2 linked regions of the Saccharomyces cerevisiae S288C genome follow. Changing the gene in region 2 together with the main gene of any one other region gives a genetic interaction. Each region holds a gene or a part of one and is shown on either strand. Other genes may lie near its edges.

Region 1 (4,874 bases), on a different chromosome or scaffold from region 2:
CTTTGAAGGATTTGCGCAATATTCAATGTGATGTTGTTACATTTGGTCAATATATGAGGCCAACCAAGAGACATATGAAAGTCGTAGAATATGTGAAACCCGAAAAGTTTGACTACTGGAAAGAGAGAGCTTTAGAGATGGGATTCTTGTATTGTGCATCTGGACCCCTAGTAAGATCGTCATATAAGGCTGGTGAAGCATTTATTGAGAACGTTTTGAAGAAAAGAAACATGAAATAATGCACACTGAAATCTAATAGTTGGAAGAAAACAATTATGGCATGGACCGCAATGTCTTTGCTTGCTGGATTATTTATTTATATCTTGTATTTTATTTATTTTTATGGTTAGTATGTTTTTGCATATTTATTTTTAACACAGAAAAGTTAGGAAACAATATCAAATATTCGATACGAATTTGTATATTTACGGTATATCCTTAATATTTTATTCTCATGACATATTAAGGGAAAAGATAAAATGCAAAAGAAAAAAATGCGTTTATTTTTTTTCATTTTCTAACAACTTGAGTAACTCCTGCTTTTCTTCTCTTTCTGAAGACAGCTGCTTGTTCAATTGCTCGATTTCTTCTGACAGAGTTTTATTTTCTAAATTTAATTGATCAAACTTATTTTGGTACTTGTTTTCATAGCCTTTTTTCAACAGTTTGACCTTTTGTTCGTGTTTGGATGAATACTGGATATACAAATCTTCTGCTAATAACTTTAGCCTTTTATTTGTATCTTTTTCTTTGGCCTCATACTTTTCTTTCCAATCTTGTACTTGTTTTCCTAATGATTTAATTTTTTCATCATCTCTATCCTTTTGATCATTGCTTAAAGTAACGCTATTATTGTTATTATTATTTTGTTCCATTAATACTTCATTTTCTTTTGTTAATGTTGTTATCCTGTCGGATGAAATCTTCAATTCATTTTGAAGAGAAATAAGGTTTTCATGAAGATTTTCCAATTCTTTGATGTGCTCAGCCTGAATGTTACTATTTTTTAGTTGTAAGCTTTCTAATTCTAGCGAAGTTTTTTCGAATTTTTGTTTCTCCAGTTCACACTCATTTTCTAGTTTATGAACTTTGTTTTCTAGTTCCGTAATTGTTTCTTCCAAATGCAATTTTGATTCCTTTAGATCTTCAATATCTCCGTTCAACTCTGTAACTTCGGCATTGCGTATCTTAGCTTCGTCTTCGACAGTTTCGTATTTACTTTGCCACATCTTAAATTCATCATCTTTTGAAGTGATCTGTTTTTTTAGCTCGTCCATTTCACTATTCAATGAATCAATTTCAGCTTCTTTTAGTTTTAGCGTCTCCTCATTTTTAATTAATTTATCCTGTACTACCTTCAAATTATCGTCGTTCAGGTTATTCAAATCATCCATTTTTTGTTGCAAGTTGTTTTTTGTAGATATTAGCTCATTAATTTGTCCTATAAGGTCAGAGTCGTTGAAGTCCTTAGAAATCGATAAAGTTTCCTTCAAACTCAATTTTAAATTATCTAGTTCGTTCTCTTTAGATTTCAAAACAATATCTGTGCTTTCAATCTTATCATTCAGTTGCACAATGCGAGAATTCAAGTCATTTAACGTGGTCTCATATTCGGATAATTTATCATTATTGCCTTTCAATTCTGCTTTCATATTTTCCAGTTCTACATTTTTATCATTTAAAATTTTCTCATTTTGCTGCAAAGTGTTGACAGTATTTTCATGTTCGCCCTTTATATGATTTACTTCAGTAATTGAGGCATCGAATTTTTCTTGTAATATTTTTTGGTTGGAATTCAATACCTTAATTTCTGTATTCAACTCCTTAATCCTCTTTTTGAATTTTTCCACCTTGGCAATATCGCTCTCTCTTTCTGTATTTAGTTTATCTAACTTTTCATTTGTCAAATCTATTAGTAGTTGGTGATTTTTGTTCAATTTCTCGTATTGAAAAGACAATGATTCATTTTTGGAAATCAAAGAGTTTAACATTTGATTTAAGTGATATATCTGATCAGTGAGCTCCTCGTTTCTTTTTGCTACAATCTGAAAATTGTCATGTCTAATATCAAGTTGGTTGTCATCATCGTAGTCATTCCTCCCCTCTTCATTTGAGTTCGACTCCCTTGCAGAAGTCTCATACAAAGGAGTAAGCCTGTTTATATGAGAATTTGTTATATCATTTTCTTCGTCCTCCTTTTCCTTATAAGCATTGTCAATATTAACCACATTGTTACTGTTAGATTTTATGAAGTCTTCCTCTTGTTGTTTCTCATTTATATCATTTTCTAATTTAAGTGTGTCGGTATTGATATTGAAACTATCGTTTCTTTCAACTCCGTCGTTTATTATGAATTTATTTGGGCTTATGTTGGTCTCAATCATATCAATCGCCATTGGAGACGACATAATTTCTTCTTTGTCATTAATGATATCTTTAGTAGAGCTTTGTTTCAAATCAGGTACTGATTCTAACTGCAATTTCAATTTTTTATTAATATGGCTACCTTCTTTATCATTTTCATCTACGTCCACGTTTTTGTCGCTTCGTTTCTCTGAGGAGTTCATTTCAACTCTGATCGGTGAATAATTCAATGCAAGGACATGCTTATCACTAGTACTTGCGCCTCCTTTATCATCATTGGTACCTGAATCTGATTTTTTGTCATCAAACATTTTATTTATGTCTATATTCTCTAATGGATTGGCATTATTCTTGTTGTTAAGAGCTGATGACCTACCGTAATCAATCGAGCGGTCTAAATCCTGCTTCTCATCTTTCTCCTTCTCGAGCGGTTCATGAGGATGTATCACGAACTGGGAGGAACCAGGAGAGTTAAAGCTGGAATCCGGTTCGGAATTAAACGTGCGTGGGTTACGTTCTTGCGAACAGTTTTCTGAATTCTGCTCGCGTTGCTGAGCTTGCCCTAAAATAAGCCTAACTGGAGTGGTAGGAACTTCGTTCATGAATTACGATATGTGCTCAAAACCTTTTTTAACTGGGTGCCCCTTGACACCAATGATGCTCTTTTTAGTTAGTGTCCTTCAAATGAACCATTAAAGAGGAACTCATCGTACACTCTGAATTATAAATAAATAAATAAAGAATATAAATTAACGCGAAAAAAAGCTTCGTCAAGTATGATGTGAGACAGTTGAAGAAAAGATGAAGAAGCCAAATAACAAGGTGGATAAAGCCATACGGCATATTATCGGGGGCAAGCTCAAAGAAGAAAAGCGATAGTATCACACAAATCAAGGCCATACACAAGGGACATCGTTGGATATCATGTCGAATGCAGAGGCCAGCAGAGTGTACGAGATTATCGTAGAGTCTGTGGTAAATGAAGTAAGAGAGGACTTTGAAAATGCGGGTATCGATGAACAAACTTTACAAGACCTAAAAAATATTTGGCAAAAAAAGCTCACAGAGACGAAGGTAACTACTTTTTCATGGGACAATCAGTTCAATGAAGGAAATATCAATGGTGTACAGAACGACTTAAATTTCAATCTTGCTACCCCCGGCGTAAATTCTAGCGAGTTCAATATTAAGGAGGAGAATACCGGTAATGAAGGTCTAATTTTGCCAAATATCAATTCCAACAACAACATACCGCACTCTGGAGAGACCAATATTAATACGAATACGGTAGAAGCAACTAATAATTCAGGTGCTACCTTGAACACAAATACTAGTGGTAATACAAATGCGGACGTAACTAGCCAGCCTAAAATTGAAGTAAAACCGGAAATAGAACTTACTATTAATAATGCCAATATAACTACCGTCGAAAACATAGATGATGAAAGTGAGAAGAAAGACGACGAGGAAAAGGAGGAGGACGTGGAAAAAACCCGCAAGGAAAAGGAGCAGATAGAACAAGTAAAATTACAAGCGAAGAAGGAAAAAAGAAGTGCATTATTAGATACGGATGAGGTCGGTTCAGAACTAGATGATTCCGACGATGACTATCTAATTTCGGAGGGTGAAGAGGATGGGCCAGATGAGAACTTAATGCTGTGCTTATATGATAAAGTCACAAGAACAAAGGCGAGATGGAAATGTAGTCTGAAAGATGGTGTGGTGACCATCAATAGAAATGACTACACATTCCAAAAAGCTCAAGTGGAAGCGGAGTGGGTATAACTAAATCTTTAGACGTAAAGAAGAAAAAATGTATATATACAAGTACTATAATATCAAACTAAAAAAACGAAATAAAGAGGGATGCAACGAACTTGGTCATCTGTTGTCAAACAGCGCTTGTATGTTCATTAGCCGAAGTGACTTTGGCTCGGTTCCATAGCTTAAGGAGTTCAGTAACACCGGAACCTACTGAAATTATTTCGTAAGCTAGCTCTGAGTTATATTTGTCCCTTTTACCTTTAATATTAATTAGATTAGACAATAAGTTTAGTATTATCTTATAAAAATCCAATGTAATATTATTTTTCCGTAACTCCAAATTGACTTTGTCATTGGTAGGTAGTTTGTACTTTAACTCGTATTCCTTTATTGCATTACCACTGGTATTATAGATACTTAAATAAATTTCATCTCTTATTAGCTGTCGCCATTGTTCAATGTTTTTATTGATAGCAAGAATATTTAAAACTTCCCATAAGATATAGTGCTGTTCTTTGACGAATGTCATTAGTCTATTAGTATTTGCATGTGATGTGTTCTTTTTACCAAACATTGATTGTAGCTTATGGAACAGTATCAACTCATCTGTCAAATTATAAAAAGCTTCAATAATGTCGAAAAACCGGAAATTTTTAAAATAAAATAAAATTGATTGATCTTTATAATGTAGTTTTTTCATTTCTCTCAACCAGCGAAATCTTTTGATAATTTTATATAAATTGATC
Region 2 (5,909 bases):
TGAAACCGAAAATAAATAAAAAAATATCGAGAGGAAGCGTGAAAAGCTAATGAACATATAATATGAAAATCTGCAGTATGATGGATAAAAATCCTCTCGAAAACTCAAATACGTTTTTTATATTCACCAGGCGTTTCAAATTTATTCTGGATCCACAGTCCCTTTTTTCTAGATCTTGCCAAAAATTCATAATATCGATACTTATCTTCTCTATCATCAAATTCTGTGTTTACTTTACCCTCATAAACAACCGCTAATCCATCCTTGAGCATTTCTAAGCTTAAGTCTTTCCACCCACCAAACCAGTCCCAGTATGACACTCGAGCTACACAACGGTTGTACTGATCTATAGATAAAGGCTTGACCCATACTTTCTTTCCCAAAATTCGGTTTTGTAACCAAATTAAAGCTTCATTACCAAACGGTTGAGCTGGGTTACCGAAATGTGCTCTTTCTGGGGCATCGATTCCACATAATCTTATAGGAATAGTTGGCAGGTTTTTCCTATTTTTGTAAGGTACATTTAGCTTCAAGAACTGGCTTTTAGCTTTTTGTATTTTACTTTTGGTGGACCTCCCATGCGTAATCCAATTGAAATTGAAAAACCTCATATTTCTGCTATCTCCAACAAGCTTTTCTGCCGTAGAATCATTCTTGATCATTTGTGGGACGGGTCGTAACCATCCCCATCCACCTCTTATACCACCTGGCATGTGAAAGAAATGAAAGTTGTCCCCGTCACCTACAGACGTGACTTTACCATAAAGCCAGTGTTTACGAAATATTCTTCGCGGTATATCATTTGTTCTTTTGAATTGAGTTAAATACCTTTTATATGTGTAGATCAATGTTAAGGTCGAACCCGTAAGGATGATGGAGAGGACAGCAACATCCGCAGATTTTTTTGAATTAGAATCACCTTCCCTCATATAAGTGCATTTATGCCCCCTTAATAGCTATGAAAAACTGGGCTTCTTTTTATATCATGTGTGACTTATTCTGTAATTTGTTTTTATTCTTCAACACAATTTTTTTTTTTTTGCATACCAAAGGAATCATAAAAGGTCAATGATGAAGAAAGATAAAAGAATTTTGTGACCAACAATTATGTCAGCGGATAGGAGTTTATCATATTATAAAACCGATTACTATTATCTATTAGAAATGTATATACACTTATTTGGCTTGTCGCTGTTCCCACAGACGCAATGTTATTGTTGCCAAAAAGCACGGAAGTTGACCTCTATCTTCCACCCATAGATTCATGAGATCATCCCATCCTTCTATATCTGCATCAAGGTTAGATTTCAAAGTGTTTTCATTTAGATCAGCAATCAAATATTTTTCAGGTTTGAAACAGGAAAATATTTTCACACGACTATCTTGTTGAAATTCCAATTTAAAACCTAATAATGAGTTTACAACGTCAATAAACTCCAAAGATTTATTATTGAAAACTTGCTTTAGTCTGGAAAATCTTTTATTTGACTTAAAAACTTCCTGTTCGAACTGTTTCAACTCGAAATTTAGTGAATCATAAACAGAAATGGGTACTGTTTCCACTGCTGGATTATTCTTTTTCAATTCGTTAAGTAAATCTGCATTTTCCTTTTCTAGAAGAAGTAATTTGTTTTTCTTGATAAATTGATCTTTTATGAAGGGGCCGTCACGTAATTGCAGTATACGTATTTTTTTCTCCTTTAGTTTAGTTAACTTTTCTAATTTTTCTTGTAGTAGCTGAATTGTAGTTTGTGCTTTACTCAACTCCCTCGAGACACTTACATTTTCCAGTTGCAATTCGTTGAGCCTCTGTGAATAATTTAAACCAATTTGGTCACTTGTCAACTTCCTCTTTTTTCTTTGTGTTTCTACATCATTGGAATTTGATAATAACTGATCGTTTAGCTTCTTTAGTTCGTTTGTTAAATCTTCTGTCTTATTTTTATAAGTATCGATCAAATTATTCATATCTTCGTTTACGTTCTTGTTTGACGCATGTGTTTCACTATTTTCGACCTCTAGTAAAGCATTATTTTGTGCGGAATATAGGCCATCTAATTGTTCGCGCAGTAATCGACATTCTTCGAAAGATAAACTCTTCTGTTGTTCTAACTCGTGATTTAATCTTTTCAAATTTACTATGTTGTTTTCATAATTCTTGTTCAAATCTAGTATTTGGTTTCTCTCTAAAGCCATTTCATCATTCAGTAGCTTTAAATTGTTATTGTCCAATCTTAACTTATCATTCATATCTGTCAAAATTAAACATTCCTTTTTGGTAAGTTTCCAGTCCCGGATAATCTCTTCAGGGTTATTTCTTATGTTATTTTTGGTTCTGTTGTTATTATTAATATTGTTGTTATTACTTGTATCATTATTATTATCATTATTATTATCATTTTTATTATTATTATTATTATCATTGTTGTTAACATTGTTATCATCATCATCGTCACTATCATTATAAATTTCCCATTTGGTTAATTTCGATTTTAGATCTATGTTTTCCAATTGAAGATTTTCATATTGACTTTCGAGTACGTGTAATTGACTTAATTTGTTTTGTAGTTTTTCATTTTCTAATTTCCAAAAAGTAGAAGTGTCCTGGGATTGTTTAAGTTTTTTCAATTCATTGGCTTGTTGCATGTTCGCTAGTTCCAATTCTTTAGTATACTGAACTTGGTCTTGGATCATTTTGTTCATTTCAGTGAGCTCGTTGAACTCTTCGGTGGAGTAGTTTGGATGTGAGTTTATCATCTTAGATGCTTTTACCGAAGATAATTCATCATCCTTTTCCATCACTTGATGCTGCAAATCTTTGATATCCACACTTTGCCTCTTTATTTCTTTCTCATATTTCATCAGTAGCGAATGAGAGCTCTCTGCTTCCAACTTGAAATGGTCACATTGGTTAGTGACCTTTGATAACTTCGAATCATACTGCTGCCTTAAAGTCTCCATTTCTAAATCTTTGTTTTGGAGGGTTGTTCGCAATTCCTCTATGCATTTGTCTTTATCATTCATCGAATTAGCTGATCTTTCTTTCAAACTCTTTAACTCTTGCTCCAATTTATCATTGCTTTCATAAAGATATTTTGTATCATTCAATGCTTTCTCTAATTCGTCAATCGTGGCCTTATATTTCTTTTCTAAGATATTCGTCTGTTTTTGTAGCTGCAATTTTTCAATCTCATACTCATTTTGTAGAGTATTGAGCTTGAATTGTAACGCCTGAATCTGACGATTACTTTGTCCATTTGTACTGCCTACGTCGGGCGAACCTCCAGGGCTTTCCAAGAAAGGAGAGGACCCACCACTATTGCTCATTTTGTACTGGATAGAATAGATCTCTAGTCCCAATTTTTTTCCAGTGAATCGTCCACTCAATGCACTGAAGAAACATTGCAATGCCGCTCTCACATCCATTATTTACTATTACCTCTCGATTTTAAGATGGAAAAAATTGTTAGGAATTATTCCTAGGGTAACACGCTATCAATTTTCATTGCTCCTTTAGCGATAAATAAGAGACTAAAATAAGATCAACTTCCTACACAATCTCTGCTCATTACATTTCGATGTCGTGGTGAAATTCTTATTCTGTATATGCAACGTAGAAGAAAGCAGCGTTTACACAAAAATGTCAAAAGTGTATGTTATTATAAGTTTTGAAAGGGATTTCAACATATACTAACAAATTCTTGAAATGTACCCTCACTGTCCTATTGTAAATCAGACCAAGAAATTTTAGGTTGTTAGAAGAATTAGAAAAGGGTGAAAAAGGGTTTGGTCCAGAATCATGTAGTTATGGTTTAGCTGATAGCGACGATATTACCATGACCAAATGGAACGGCACTATTTTAGGGCCCCCTCATAGTAATCATGAAAACAGAATCTATTCCCTTTCTATAGATTGTGGCCCAAACTATCCAGATTCTCCCCCAAAGGTCACTTTCATTTCCAAGATAAATCTACCATGCGTCAATCCAACTACGGGGGAGGTCCAAACTGACTTCCACACCTTACGTGACTGGAAAAGAGCCTACACCATGGAAACTTTATTACTTGATCTTAGAAAGGAAATGGCAACCCCAGCGAACAAGAAATTGCGTCAACCGAAGGAAGGAGAAACCTTTTAGTTATCTACTTTTTCCTAAACAGTATTTGCAGCATTCCAAGCCACTCATATATACAAGCAATAAGACATAGATATCCTCTTATTTAGGTAGTAAGTTTAATTACTTTCATAATATGAATTTACTCACCCCATGCCGAGAAGTTACTCGTGCAATTCACTACGATAATGATGTATATAGTTGTATTATCAATCCTTGCAACGGTCCTCATCCGGGCACACGAAGGTAAACCCTTAGATCTGCTAAAAAACAGACGACAGAAAGACTGTTGCACCCAAGATCGATAAATTTGTTCTCCAGTCCAAGCCAATAATAAATATATTGCAACACCAATCCACATTCTTCATGGGTCAAGAACGCCCCGGAGGGGTTCAACCTCGACGAGATACTGTACGTGTTACGAATGGCTGTTAAATTTGCGTTACTGTTATAAAATAACACTAAAATAAGAAATGGAAAGTAAATAAATAGTAAAGGAAAGTCAAATAAAGCAATGAATGCTGCATTGATCTGCCTTTTATAGCTAAGAAAAAAAAAGAGAAAAAAATAATAAGTGCGGGTAACCTCATGCATTGTAAAACGGTAGGGCTACAAGGCACTACTTACTCTACGCTATAGAAGAAGCTTCAAGACATGGTGTTGTTCTTATTTGAGCGAACTCAGCTGTCACCGTTTCGGGAAACTCTATAGTTTTCTGCGTTTCAGTACGCAGTTGGGCGTGCTAAAGTTGTTTTCCTAATTTGCTAGTGTTCACTTGCTCATTGATGTCCCTAAAAGGTAATGTCGCATAGTAAGATGTATGTCCCATATCAAACGCATTCCTAGAAAAACATGCACTGAATGAATAAGCAGTTACTTCGATTACTAATCTTCACAGCATAATTTTTCTCTTATCTTGTAAACCTCTTTCTATCTTTTCATAAAGTTTGTCACTTATATTTCTTCATTGGTACATCAATGCCAGCAACGATGTGCGCATCTGGGCGACGCCTGTAGTGATTGTTTTCAAGGTATCGAGCCAAACTATTCATCGTTACTGTTTCAAATATTCAGTTGTTTCAGTACAGAGTCGCCGTGGACCTAGTGAAACTTGGTGTCTTTACAGCGCAGAGACGAGGGCTTATATGTATAAAAGCTGTCCTTGATTCTGGTGTAGTTTGAGGTGTCCTTCCTATATCTGTTTTTATATTCTATATAATGGATAATTACTACCATCACCTGCATCAAATTCCAGTAAATTCACATATTGGAGAAAATGAAATTCATTTCTACCTTTCTCACTTTTATTTTAGCGGCCGTTTCTGTCACTGCTAGTTCCGATGAAGATATCGCTCAGGTGCCAGCCGAGGCCATTATTGGATACTTGGATTTCGGAGGTGATCATGACATAGCTTTTTTACCATTCAGTAACGCTACCGCCAGTGGGCTATTGTTTATCAACACCACTATTGCTGAGGCGGCTGAAAAAGAGCAAAACACCACTTTGGCGAAAAGAGAGGCTGTTGCCGACGCTTGGCACTGGTTAAATTTGAGACCAGGCCAACCAATGTACAAGAGAGAGGCCAACGCTGATGCTTGGCACTGGTTGCAACTCAAGCCAGGCCAACCAATGTACTGAAAAATGACCCTAAACTACTTCTAAACCCTCTCGATTTCTTTCACGTTCATACAACACCTAGTTTTATTTATTTTCTTTTCAATCTGAGTAGTTGAGTTTTCGATCACTCACATAGAACTATTTTTTGCCATTTAAATAAAGTATTCTCTCAAATG

What was found.
Region 1: mutations in MAD1 (region 2) and SLK19 together harm fitness more than expected from each alone (negative genetic interaction), as found in Saccharomyces cerevisiae (6 studies listed by BioGRID, with this or other methods).

What each region holds. Positions count from the first base shown.
Region 1 is NC_001147.6:710,958-715,831, reverse strand, and holds SLK19 (Slk19p), read right to left. Parts: upstream 2,967-4,874; coding exon 501-2,966; downstream 1-500. Other genes in the region: LIP5 (lipoate synthase), read left to right, coding at 1-239; TOA1 (transcription initiation factor IIA large subunit), read left to right, coding at 3,289-4,149; PEX27 (Pex27p), read right to left, coding at 4,256-4,874. UniProt on the Saccharomyces cerevisiae protein: Has a role in spindle assembly and stability. Required to ensure a timely exit form mitosis. Essential to maintain pre-anaphase spindle polarity. Associates to the plus ends of the microtubules at the kinetochore and spindle midzone.
Region 2 is NC_001139.9:344,636-350,544, reverse strand, and holds MAD1 (coiled-coil domain-containing protein MAD1), read right to left. Parts: upstream 3,427-5,909; coding exon 1,177-3,426; downstream 1-1,176. Other genes in the region: LCL3 (Lcl3p), read right to left, coding at 105-929; E2 ubiquitin-conjugating protein MMS2, read left to right, coding at 3,641-3,651, 3,737-4,139; YGL088W (uncharacterized protein), read right to left, coding at 4,344-4,709; MF(ALPHA)2 (Mf(Alpha)2p), read left to right, coding at 5,392-5,754. UniProt on the Saccharomyces cerevisiae protein: Central component of the spindle assembly checkpoint. Thought to recruit MAD2 to unattached kinetochores. During checkpoint activity, MAD2 is relayed from the MAD1-MAD2 complex to the mitotic checkpoint complex (MCC).